Macaca mulatta: one gene and its partner. The protein of the gene in region 2 purifies or fractionates together with the protein of the main gene of each other region. This does not show direct contact. Links are inferred from orthologs where the notes say so. Each region holds a gene or a part of one and is shown on either strand. Other genes may lie near its edges.

Region 1 (4,774 bases), on a different chromosome or scaffold from region 2:
CACACTTCTCAGAGAGCTGCAGCGAGACCCCGACACTGAGGAGGCACTGAGGTGCAGCCTGGGGACCAAGGGAACGTGAGGAGGAAGCAACAAGAACCAGTGGATCCGGGCAGCCACCAGCTGCCACCGTGCTCCCACAATCCCCAGGAGAGGCCGTGAGTGGGGCAGGGCTCACCCGGGGGCAGCTGGAAAGGCACGGGGACACCATCATGGACGGAGGAGCCCTGCGGCCGGGCCATCCTGGCATTGAGTGAGTCCAGCACGCTGAGCTCCATGCCCTTGAGGATGCTGCTGCTCCGGTTCTCCAGCACGATGGCCACAGTAACCTGACTGTCCTCCTGCAGACTGCCCCGGATGTCACAGGTCTGCAGGGCATGGCCAATGTAAGCAGGGCAGGCACAGCTGCCTGTCTCTCAGTGACCACAGAGGCAGCACGGGTCCCACGGGCACAGGAAGGCACGGGGAGAGGCGACCCCCAGCTGCAGCCAGGCGCCTCCTGTGGTTGCTCTTTGAGTGCATGGCGGGGGCCCTCCTGCCAGCTCAGGGCATGTCTCTAACCTTACCCAAGCCAGAGGCGCTGCCCAAGCAATGCCCTGCCAGGGATCACAGGCCCTGGGTACACCAACATCTGGGAGCTGTGGGGGCTGCCCCGGTTCTGTGCAATCCCATGCCAAAGAGCAAGGGCTGGCCCACCCTGCCCCGGGGAGCAGCTCACCATTTTAACATAGGAATTTTCAGCGAGGAGGGAGTAGCTGGACTCAGGCTGGAAAGAGAAAAGGCCCATCAGCCTCGGGGGCCTCGAGCTCCGTCCTAACGAAGACTCCAGTGCAGCCCAATACCCTAGGTCAAATGCCACGACTCCAAGAACGCTTGGGGTGAGGGGCTTCAAAGGGGCCTGCGAGGGATGCCTGTCTCCCACACAGCCCACTGCGGGGGTGCCGAATGTGGGGCTGCAGGCCAGGGCCAGGTCCCTGCTCCCGCCAGGCTCAGCTTCTTCAAGAATCTGCTGTTCTCTCCCGCATGGAGGCCGCAGGAGTGGGGAGCAGCCCGCAGCCCGCCAGGAACCCTGGCACGGGGCGGGGGCGCTGAAGTACCCCTCACCGGGAGCGGCTCCTCCTCTGCTGCGCCGTTCTGCACCGGCTCCCCCGCCGCCTCCGCCTCCTCGCTGCCCAGGGGCTGCTTCTTGGACTTCTTCTTGCCTTTGGTGCGCTCCTCCTTCTCCTTCTTGTGCTTCTTCTTCTTATGCTTGGGAGATTTCTGGAGCAGGAGGAGGGTCAGGTTCAGTTCCCAAGCTGCTCCAGCGCGCCCCCCTCACAATGCGAGGTCGGGGCCACAGGCTGGGCTGCTCAGGCTGAGGGGCCCACGTGTCTGGGTGGGATGGCAGGACCAGCCACGCCTCAGGCCTACCGGGATGAGCTCAGGCCAGACCCAGCCCAGCAGAGGCTGGGGCCATCCCTGGCTGGCGGCAGGCGGCAAGCGCCAAAGCAGCTCAGGGAACAGTCCCTGCCGACCAGGGAGCCATGGATGGTCAACCGGTGAGGACGCCACGCTTGATGCAGCAACTCCACACCCACGCACACACCCGAGAGGGCACACACACGTCCATGCACACTGCACAAATGTTCGAAGCAGCACACTGTGTGGCCACAAAGTGGAAGCGGCCCAAGTGGCTATCAACAGACGAGTGGGCCGGCACAGCGTGGCCCGTCCGTGGAGGAACGGGGTCAGCAGAGGGCGGCCTGTCCACGCACCAGAACACGACCCAGCCATGAACAGGAACCAGGCTCTGACCCAAGCCATAGTGTGGATGCACCTTGAGGACATCACACTCAGTGACACGCCACACACAAAAGACCACACAGTGTATGACCCCATTTCTGTGAAATGTCCAGGACACACTGATCCACAGAGACAGGAAGGATGCGTGGGTGCCAGGGCTGGGAAGGGAATGGGGAGTAACGGCTGGTGGGAATGGAGTTTCTTTAGAGGTGATGGAAAGTTCCGGAACTAGGCCGGGCGCGGTGGCTCAAGCCTGTAATCCCAGCACTTTGGGAGGCCGAGACGGGCGGATCACGAGGTCAGGAGATCGACACCATCCTGGCTAACACGGCGAAACCCCGTCTCTACTAAAAAAATAATACAAAAAACCAGCCGGGCGAGGTGGCGGCGCCTGTAGTCCCAGCTACTCGGGAGGCTGAGGCAGGAGAATGGCGTGAACCTGGGAGGCGGAGCTTGCAGTGAGCTGAGATCCCGCCACTGCACTCCAGCCTGGGCGACAGAGCGAGACTCCGTCTCAAAAAAAAAAAAAAAGGAAAGTTCCGGAACTAGACAGAGGTGATGATGGTTGCACAACGCTGTATATATACGGAAAACCACCGTATACATATTTTAAATGAATAAACTCTATTAGACTTATGAACCATGTGTGAATATGGAGATTATTAAAAAAACAAAAGACGGCCGGGCGCGGTGGCTCAAGCCTGTAATCCCAGCACTTTGGGAGGCCGAGACGGGCGGATCACGAGGTCAGGAGATCGAGACCATCCTGGCTAACACGGTGAAACCCCGTCTCTACTAAAAGATACAAAAAATTAGCCGGGCGAGGTGGCGGGCGCCTGTAGTCCCAGCTACTCTGGAGGCTGAGGCAGGAGAATGGCGTGAACCCGGGAGGCGGAGCCTGCAGTGAGCCGAGATCGCACCACTGCACTCCAGCCTGGGCTACAGAGCAAGACTCCGTCTCAAAAAAAAAAAAAAAATAAATAAATAAATAAATAAATAAAAATAAAAATAAAAATAAAAATAAAAATAAAAAAAATTAAAAAACAAAAGACCACGACCACAACAAAAGGCCCGTGAGAAGTCCGATGCAAAGGCGAGAGCAGGGCTGCCCTGGGATCTGGGTGGCGGAAGCTGTCCGGCCCCACATTGGGATGCTGGGGCGCATGCAGCCCTCCACAGCCACTGGGGAGTGACAGCCTCACCTTGTCCTGGTCTTGCCCCTCAGCGTTGTCCTCCTCGTCCTGCGCCTCCGTCTTGGCGTCTTCACACTCGTGCTTCGGGGTAGTGACAGCGTTCACACTGAGCTCCTCCTGCAGGGAGCCAGGGCTCAGGGCTCATGCTGGGCAATGAGGGGCCCCACTCCACTTCACTCCAGGCAGCCTCCATGCCGCACACCCTCAGCTCACCCTCACCCCTGCCTGAGAGGCCACAGTGCCCTCTGAGTGACAGGGAGCCTGTGGGCGCAGAGGCCCTGGCCATCCTCCCCTTCCCCTGGCCCCTGCTTGGCCCACTGGTACGTGGGAGCACGACCCCGGCCCCACTCAGTGCTGCGAGAGTGACTGCGAGAGCACGGGGCCTCAGGAGACCCCAGGGCTCTTCCCTGAGTGCCAGGTATGACCTCTGGAGACACGAAGGCCGGCAGTGGCCAGCTGCCGGTCTCTTACCGTGGATGGAGCAGGGGCGGGGGCGGGGGCAGGTGGTGGGGTGGTGGACAGCCAGAAGTCCAGGTCCTCAGCCTGAAACCACAAGACAGGCTGTCAGCAAACGCAGTGCATGGTCCTAGGAAGAGGCGCCGGGGACAGCAGGGGACAGCAGGGACCAGCTGCCCTTGCTGCCCCCAGGGCCCTGGACCAGCTGGGCCTTGCAGAGCCTGGGAATCCAGGAGCTGATGGTGATGTCCTCAGCCAGCCCTGCTGGCTCTGGCTTTCGCTGCCAGAAGAGGGCCAGGGACATATCTGTGGGTGGGCATGCACCATTCCAGTGGTCAGAAGGCCCCTGGCGGCCCGTATGTCTGCCTGGGCCCCTGACGTGGGTGTGCACGGCCCCAGGCCTGCGAACACGCGCTCCTCTGAACCCATTTCTTCCTCTCTGTGAACATGTGCACACAGACGCTGCAGAGACAGCTGCACACCAGGGGCATCTGGACCACACTGAGCTCTGACCACGGCTCCCCAACACAGGTGAGGACACGGCTCACCTGTCGGATTGTCGGCTCCTCCTCAGTCTCCCCTGAGGCAAGCGCACAGCCAACTCCCCTCGGAAGCCACGCGTCCTCCCTCCGCCAGGGCACAGGGCGAGGCGGCTGGCGCTCGCTGCCTCAGACTCACAGCCATTTCCCCTGAGCTCACTGCTGTCCCCAGGCTGTCTGGGAGTTCAGGGCAAGAGAGGGGAATGGAGAAGGATGCTACCCTGGGCACTAGCTTTACCTTCTTCTCCTTCTGCTTCTTCTTCTCCTTGTCTCTCTCTTTCTCTTTGTGCTTTTTCTCTTTCTTCTTGGGTTTCTTGCTCTTCTTTTCTACCACGGGAACGTCCTTCTCGGGGGATTTTGAGGTCTCGGCGTTTCTGTGTTTCTGAATAGGCAGCTTCTCGCTGTCGGCTAAGGGCCTGGAAAGGGGAATGACCGGGTCGCACATCAGCACCACTGGCCACCCCCCAGGACCACCAGTACATGCTGTGTCCAAGCATGTGGCAGCGCGGGACCTGCTCCTCCAGCCCCTGGCCCCAGCCATGGTCCGACGTGGATCTGCCCAACACGGCCTGCTGCAGGCTCTCACGGGAGAGTCTGTCGAGGCATGGGGACCTTCTGAGCACCCCAGGCCTGGAGACTTCAGAGCCCACGCTTAGGGTCTTGGTTGGGAGGGCCAACCAAAAGCAGTGCAGTGAGGACATGGTCTGGGGAACGCCCGCCTGCACCCCGTCCCAGCCTGTCCACCCTGCAGAGCCCGGCCCCGCCCGGGAGGACGAGAGGAAGGGAAGCAACCACCTGTGGCCTCCA
Region 2 (5,570 bases):
TAAGAATCTCCATAATCTGTATCCATCTATCTTTACCAGTCTGGTCCTTAAACATACCCTTACCAAATATACTCTGCTTTTCCTATCTCTATACCTTTGCTTGGGCAGTGTCCTTATGTGGAAGTTTTTTTTTTTCCCACCCTCCTTCAACTGCTAACAATCTTTCAAATGACGTTATCGTCAATGGAAAAAAAAAAAAAGCTAAGGCATATAATTTACTAAACATATACTCCATCTGATGCTTCACAAATTATCTGAATCTCCACAAAAACAAATAAGGAAGCAGTTAAGGAAACTGAGGAGGAGCTCACCGAAACTCACCAGCAAGTAAGAATCCAAAATAGCCCCATGGCATTCCATATTTTTAATGAAATAAGACATAAAAGAGACAGACGTTCCGTAGTCAGAATACCTGTGTTCAAATTCCAGCTACTCCACTACTCCACCAGCTACTTGTGTGAACTCACAAGTTATGTATCTGTGATGCCTTAATTCCCCCACTTCCCACTTATAAAATGGGGATAAGACAGGCATGATGTATCACACCTGTAATCCCAGCACTTTGGAAGGCTGAAGCAGGTGGATCACTTGAACCCTGGAGTTTCAGACCAGACTGAGCAACATAACAAGACCTTGTCTCTACAAAAAAACAATTTTTTTTTAATTAGCCAGGCATGGCAGTATATGACTGTAGTCCCAGCTATTTGTTGGGCTAAGATAGGAGGATCCCTTGAGCACACAAAGTCAAGCGTGCAGTGAGCCATAATCGCTCCAGCCTGGGCAACAGAGCAAGACCCTGTCCCCCAAAAATAAAAATAAAAAGGAAACAATTTACCATCTACTACATCAATGACTGTAAGAACCACCTGAGATATTACAAAGGGCTTAGAATTGTATTTGGCTCATAGTAACCAATCAATATTAGCTACATTACTGTTTTGTTGTTATTGATATACTACGTTATATAAACTTTGACAACACCAATCATATGCTGTGTTGTCCCCAAATCAACTTTTGTGTAATGTAAAAGATTCATAAAAGTTTAATATTTTACTTTTATATATGCTCAATAAATATCTATAGAATACATACATTTTTGAACAATGACTCACCAGTATGCTTTATTAAAAGGAATTTGCTTGTAATTTTGTTTCCTCTTTTGGGAAAAGTAACAATGCTTACCAACTTTCTTCCCCTTTTTATGTCATGTGAAACTATCATACGCAATGCCATATGGTAAACATGACAAACAGTGCAAAACACTATTTTGACTGAAACTCATTTGCCTTCTGCTAAACATCATTAATTCCCAGATTTAAAAATATTGTTATTTAAATGCCAACCATTTTTAGGTCACACCTATACGAAGTAAGCAAAACATACCATGATAGTTGACCAAACTATTTCATTTCATACATCTCCTATGGGAAGAACTATAAGGCATAAAATGCCTTTCTCCAACTTAACTCAAAGACATAAATCTATCCCTTTAGTCATACCCTCAGTCCTACCCTCACTTAGCTAAAGTTAGTGCCTGTAAAAGTTCTGAATAATCTACGATATTCTGGAATGCAGAAAAATATCAAGGGAAGAAAGCTGAATGCTAACAACAATTTATGCCCCTCCAAAATTATTGAGAAAATTAGCTTTATACAAGGAGAGATGAGAACTTATCCCAAACCCTTCAGTATTATAACTCTCAAACCAAGATTTTGTCTAAGATTTGCATTACACATAGAGACAAGATGACAAGCTGCCTAGCTTCAAACAAAGGCAGAGGTTAAAAAAAAAAAAAACCTAATAAAACAGTTCTCATTCCCTACATAGAGAAAAATAACCGTCCTTCTCTTCAATAGTTTCCAACAAAACAACAAAAAAACTTACGTAATAGACAAATTTTGTTTCATTTAATCCTCACAACTCATTTGTTATTTACGGAAAAGGTCACAGAATTAGTAAGTGGCAGAACTGAACCCAGCTTGACTCTCAAATTTGGAATCCAGTATTTTTGAAACATTTGTTTTTGCAATAATCCATAATATACTCTACATTTCCAACTTCCTCTTGACACATGCATATTGTTAAAAACTGAAACAAAAGCTTCTTGCCATAATATTTACTTTTATTCCATACAATGTCCTCTGGTATTTTTTTCTTTCTTTTTAATGCTTTCGTCAATGTACTAAATTGATTCTAAAATCTATTAATGAATTCTTATGGGCCCTGCACTACAGCACTGCACTACACTTCTTACCTCCTGTTTAAAGTTCTTTTTCATTGCTACCACTGTCCAGTTTTGTTACTTCGATATGGAGCTAATCTCCACCCATTTAAAAAATTGTCCTTAAATAGAATAAACTCTTGAAAGTCCTACCTTAAATCTTGAATTGATTTGTTTCTCCACAAGAACTCTTTGGAGGCACAGCTACCTTACTTATTTATATTGTAACAAAAACTGCAGATGTTCTCCTTGGAGAACAACACATCATTGTTGAAAGGAATGCATCAGTTTTCACTGTTCCTGCTGCATCACTGACTAACAGTAATAGCCGGGCAGGTTTGGGGCAACAAGAGAGGACCCGAGCAGCTGCCCACGGTGCTGAAACTGATGATGAAACGACAGTTTTGGAAATTTACTATTTACTATTGTCAGATTAGGACAAAATAGAGGAATTTACCAGACACCGGCAGAGAAAACTGAGTGGCTGCCACCAAAGTTGCATGAGTGCTTCCGGGATACTACTGTTTGGCTTCTATGTCTGCCCACTCTCTCTTTCTCTCTGGGACAAAGTTCTTTAATAAGTGCAAGTCAAGTTAAGCGTACAGGCACAGCTGCTGACTGACCGTAGTATCTGGCCCTAGCAGGGGTCACGTCCCAAATCTGCAATCTGAGCTTCCAGGGAAAGAAAAAGGGGGTGGGGGTAAAAGAGAGGAAGTGATTGCCCTCCTTCTATTCGAAGACAAAACAGCCCCCTCAACTAAAGTCAAGCGATTTCCCCGAGGACGTTGCGGCAGGTGCTTGACCAAGAAAAGCCTTCCAAACATGTTTTCCAGGCAGGCTCTTGCAGCCTCAAGAAGGGAATGAGAGAAGCAAAACCGGTAACTCAACTTTGGACACACACAAACTCGCAGAATCAGAGTGCAGAGGAGACTCGGTCCCCCGAGGGCAAGGCTATTTTATTCCTTTTGCAAAAAGCCTAATTTACTTCTCGCCCAGTTCTAGAGGAGCAGCAAAAGACCTCAGCAGCAGGGCCGACTCCGGGCTCGAGGGCCAACAAGCGGGGTATGTTCTCTGGGCCTCTCGATAACCCGCTGCCCGGCTGCCGCGAAGCCGGACAAGGTCTTACCTTGAAGTCCAGCCCCCGCAACACAAACAGTCTCGCCGGCCGGCCGCGTCGCTGCGGGAGAAGTCCCTACCCTGACTTCATGACTGAATATCCGCACCGACCCCCACAGCCCGGAGTAGGAGCAGGGACGACAACACCGAGGCGAAGCGGAAGTCCCGCCCCACATGCCTCATTGGTCCGCACCCAAAGGCACAGAAAACCCATTGGGCCACATGGTTGCCTGTTAAGGCTCCTTCCCACTCTCACAAGGAGTCTCGCTACTTGCTCCAGCCCGGCTCGGAGAAATGCCCAGTTTGCGAGTCTCGTTCTTGGCCGCGTGATCGGTCTTCCCTGGAAGGGAAGGGCAGGGTGGGGCAGGCGTCTGCGGAACTGTAGCGCGGCTGAAGAAGCTGCTCTTGGCAGAGGAAGGGGCAGGCTGGCAGAGTGGATTGGCTGTGGGCGTCTGCCGCTAACCATGTGCCCCTAGAAACGGAGACCGTAGGGTCTGGACGACGCGGGACCGAGCGGGCAGGGCCTGTCGGTCTGATCCGCTCCGGCTGTTGGGACACAGTAGCCCAAGATCCGGCTGCCCGGCTGCTCCCGGGCGGGCCTGGCCCTGGCGCTGACGCTGACACGTCTCTTCCCTGCACACTACACTCACCCGACCTACTAAAGAGGCGAGGGCGAGGCCTCATCCGCCCTCCTCCCGCACCGTGCCCAGTCTGAGATCAGGGTGGGTGGGACCGTGACCACACCTTAGAGTAAGGCTCAAATTGTTAGAGATGCGAGCATCTGAACGCCAGTCCCCCGAGGCCTGGCTCGGATCCGCGCTGACATCAGCACTCTGGGCCTGACACGCGCCATCCCCGGGGCTTAGCAAAAGTCAAACCACGTGATTTTTAAAACCGTTGCCTCCTTTTGATGAACCAAAAATCTCGTCCCCTGCCGCCCTTCTGATAAACCTTTTCTGGTTGTCCCAATCTTAAACCAGTCGAAAATTACCGGATTGTACTATCCACACTGATTAATCATTGCCAACTCGCCACCTTACAAAAGCAGTGTGACTTAGTGCAAAGATTACCAAGTCCTGAACTAAAATGTCAGGAGACATAGAATCAGCCACTACTTCTGCTTCAAATAATAAGGCACCTTTAATAAGGCCTTTACAGGCTTCAACTCCTTCAACATCATGTTTTAAAAATGGTGGCGAGAAGGCTGTCACACAGAATATTAATAGAATACCATTGGATGTAACTTGTAACTTTGATTGCTTGGAGAGCCCTGAGTAGGTGGCACACAGCAACGGGGGAAAGACACTTTCGTTATTGTGTATCCTTTTGTGCCTTTTGAATTTTGAACCTTGTAAATATTACCTACTCAAATAAAATTCAAATACAAGAAATTTAAAATCAAATTTTAAAAAATTAAATAAAAGCCATCAAAGGTACTTTCCTCTTCTGTATATCCTATGAGTATTCTATATAGTCTTAACTTTTCATTGGTTGTGAAGACATTCAATACTTAAATCACAATTCTGCCTTTAAGAAAGTCATAAATAAAACTCAGCATTGGGAATATTACTAAGAAGACTAGTGTAATTAATATAAACACATTTATAATATCTCTATAAGCATTTTTTCATTAAATTACCTCAAATTGGTATATTACATCAGATTTCTTGCATAACATCAAAAAAATTTTTTTAGGCCAGGTGCAGTGGCTCACGCCTGTAATCCCAGCACTTTGGGAGGCCAAGTCAGGCAGATCACTTGAGGTCAGGAGTTCAAGACCAGACTGGCCAACATGGTGAAACCTCATCTCTACTAAAAATACAAAATTAGCTGGGCTTGGTGGTGCACACCTGTAATCCCAGCTACTTGGCAGGCTGAGGCAGGAGAATCACTTGAACTCGGGAGGCAGAGGTTGCAATGAGCTGAAATCCCACCACTGCACTCCAGCATAGGCAACAGAGCAAGATTCCGTCTCCAAAAAAAAAAAAAAAATATATATATATATATATATATATTTAAGTCCACAGAGAGGAGCTTTGGGTTTCGTTATTGTTGTTTTATTTTTATTTATTTTAGAGACAAGGTCTCTCTCTGTTGCCCATGCTGGAGTGCAGTGGTGAGATCGTTTCTCACTGCAGCCTAGAACTCCTGGGCTCAAGTAATCCTCCCACCTCAGCCTCTGGAGTAGCTATGATTGCAGGCATGTGCCACCAGGCCCGGCTAATTATTTTAT

The links. Proteins that work in one complex are often made in the same cells at the same time.
Region 1: the proteins of RNF13 (region 2) and AP3D1 purify together in Homo sapiens (affinity purification with mass spectrometry; 3 studies listed by BioGRID and IntAct, counting the BioPlex papers as one, with this or other methods). This does not show direct contact. The link is inferred for Macaca mulatta from reciprocal best matches to the Homo sapiens genes RNF13 and AP3D1.

Annotation. Positions count from the first base shown.
Region 1 is NC_133424.1:2,843,704-2,848,477, forward strand, and holds part of AP3D1 (AP-3 complex subunit delta-1), read right to left. Parts: intron 4,384-4,774; coding exon 4,206-4,383; intron 3,516-4,205; coding exon 3,444-3,515; intron 3,090-3,443; coding exon 2,982-3,089; intron 1,258-2,981; coding exon 1,102-1,257; exon of another isoform or gene 1,074-1,101; intron 798-1,073; exon of another isoform or gene 764-797; coding exon 716-763; intron 403-715; exon of another isoform or gene 366-402; coding exon 176-365; intron 1-175. UniProt on the Homo sapiens protein: Part of the AP-3 complex, an adaptor-related complex which is not clathrin-associated. The complex is associated with the Golgi region as well as more peripheral structures.
Region 2 is NC_133407.1:52,821,305-52,826,874, reverse strand, and holds the start of RNF13 (E3 ubiquitin-protein ligase RNF13), read right to left. Parts: upstream 3,502-5,570; 5' UTR 3,348-3,501; intron 1-3,347. UniProt on the Homo sapiens protein: E3 ubiquitin-protein ligase that regulates cell proliferation. Involved in apoptosis regulation. Mediates ER stress-induced activation of JNK signaling pathway and apoptosis by promoting ERN1 activation and splicing of XBP1 mRNA.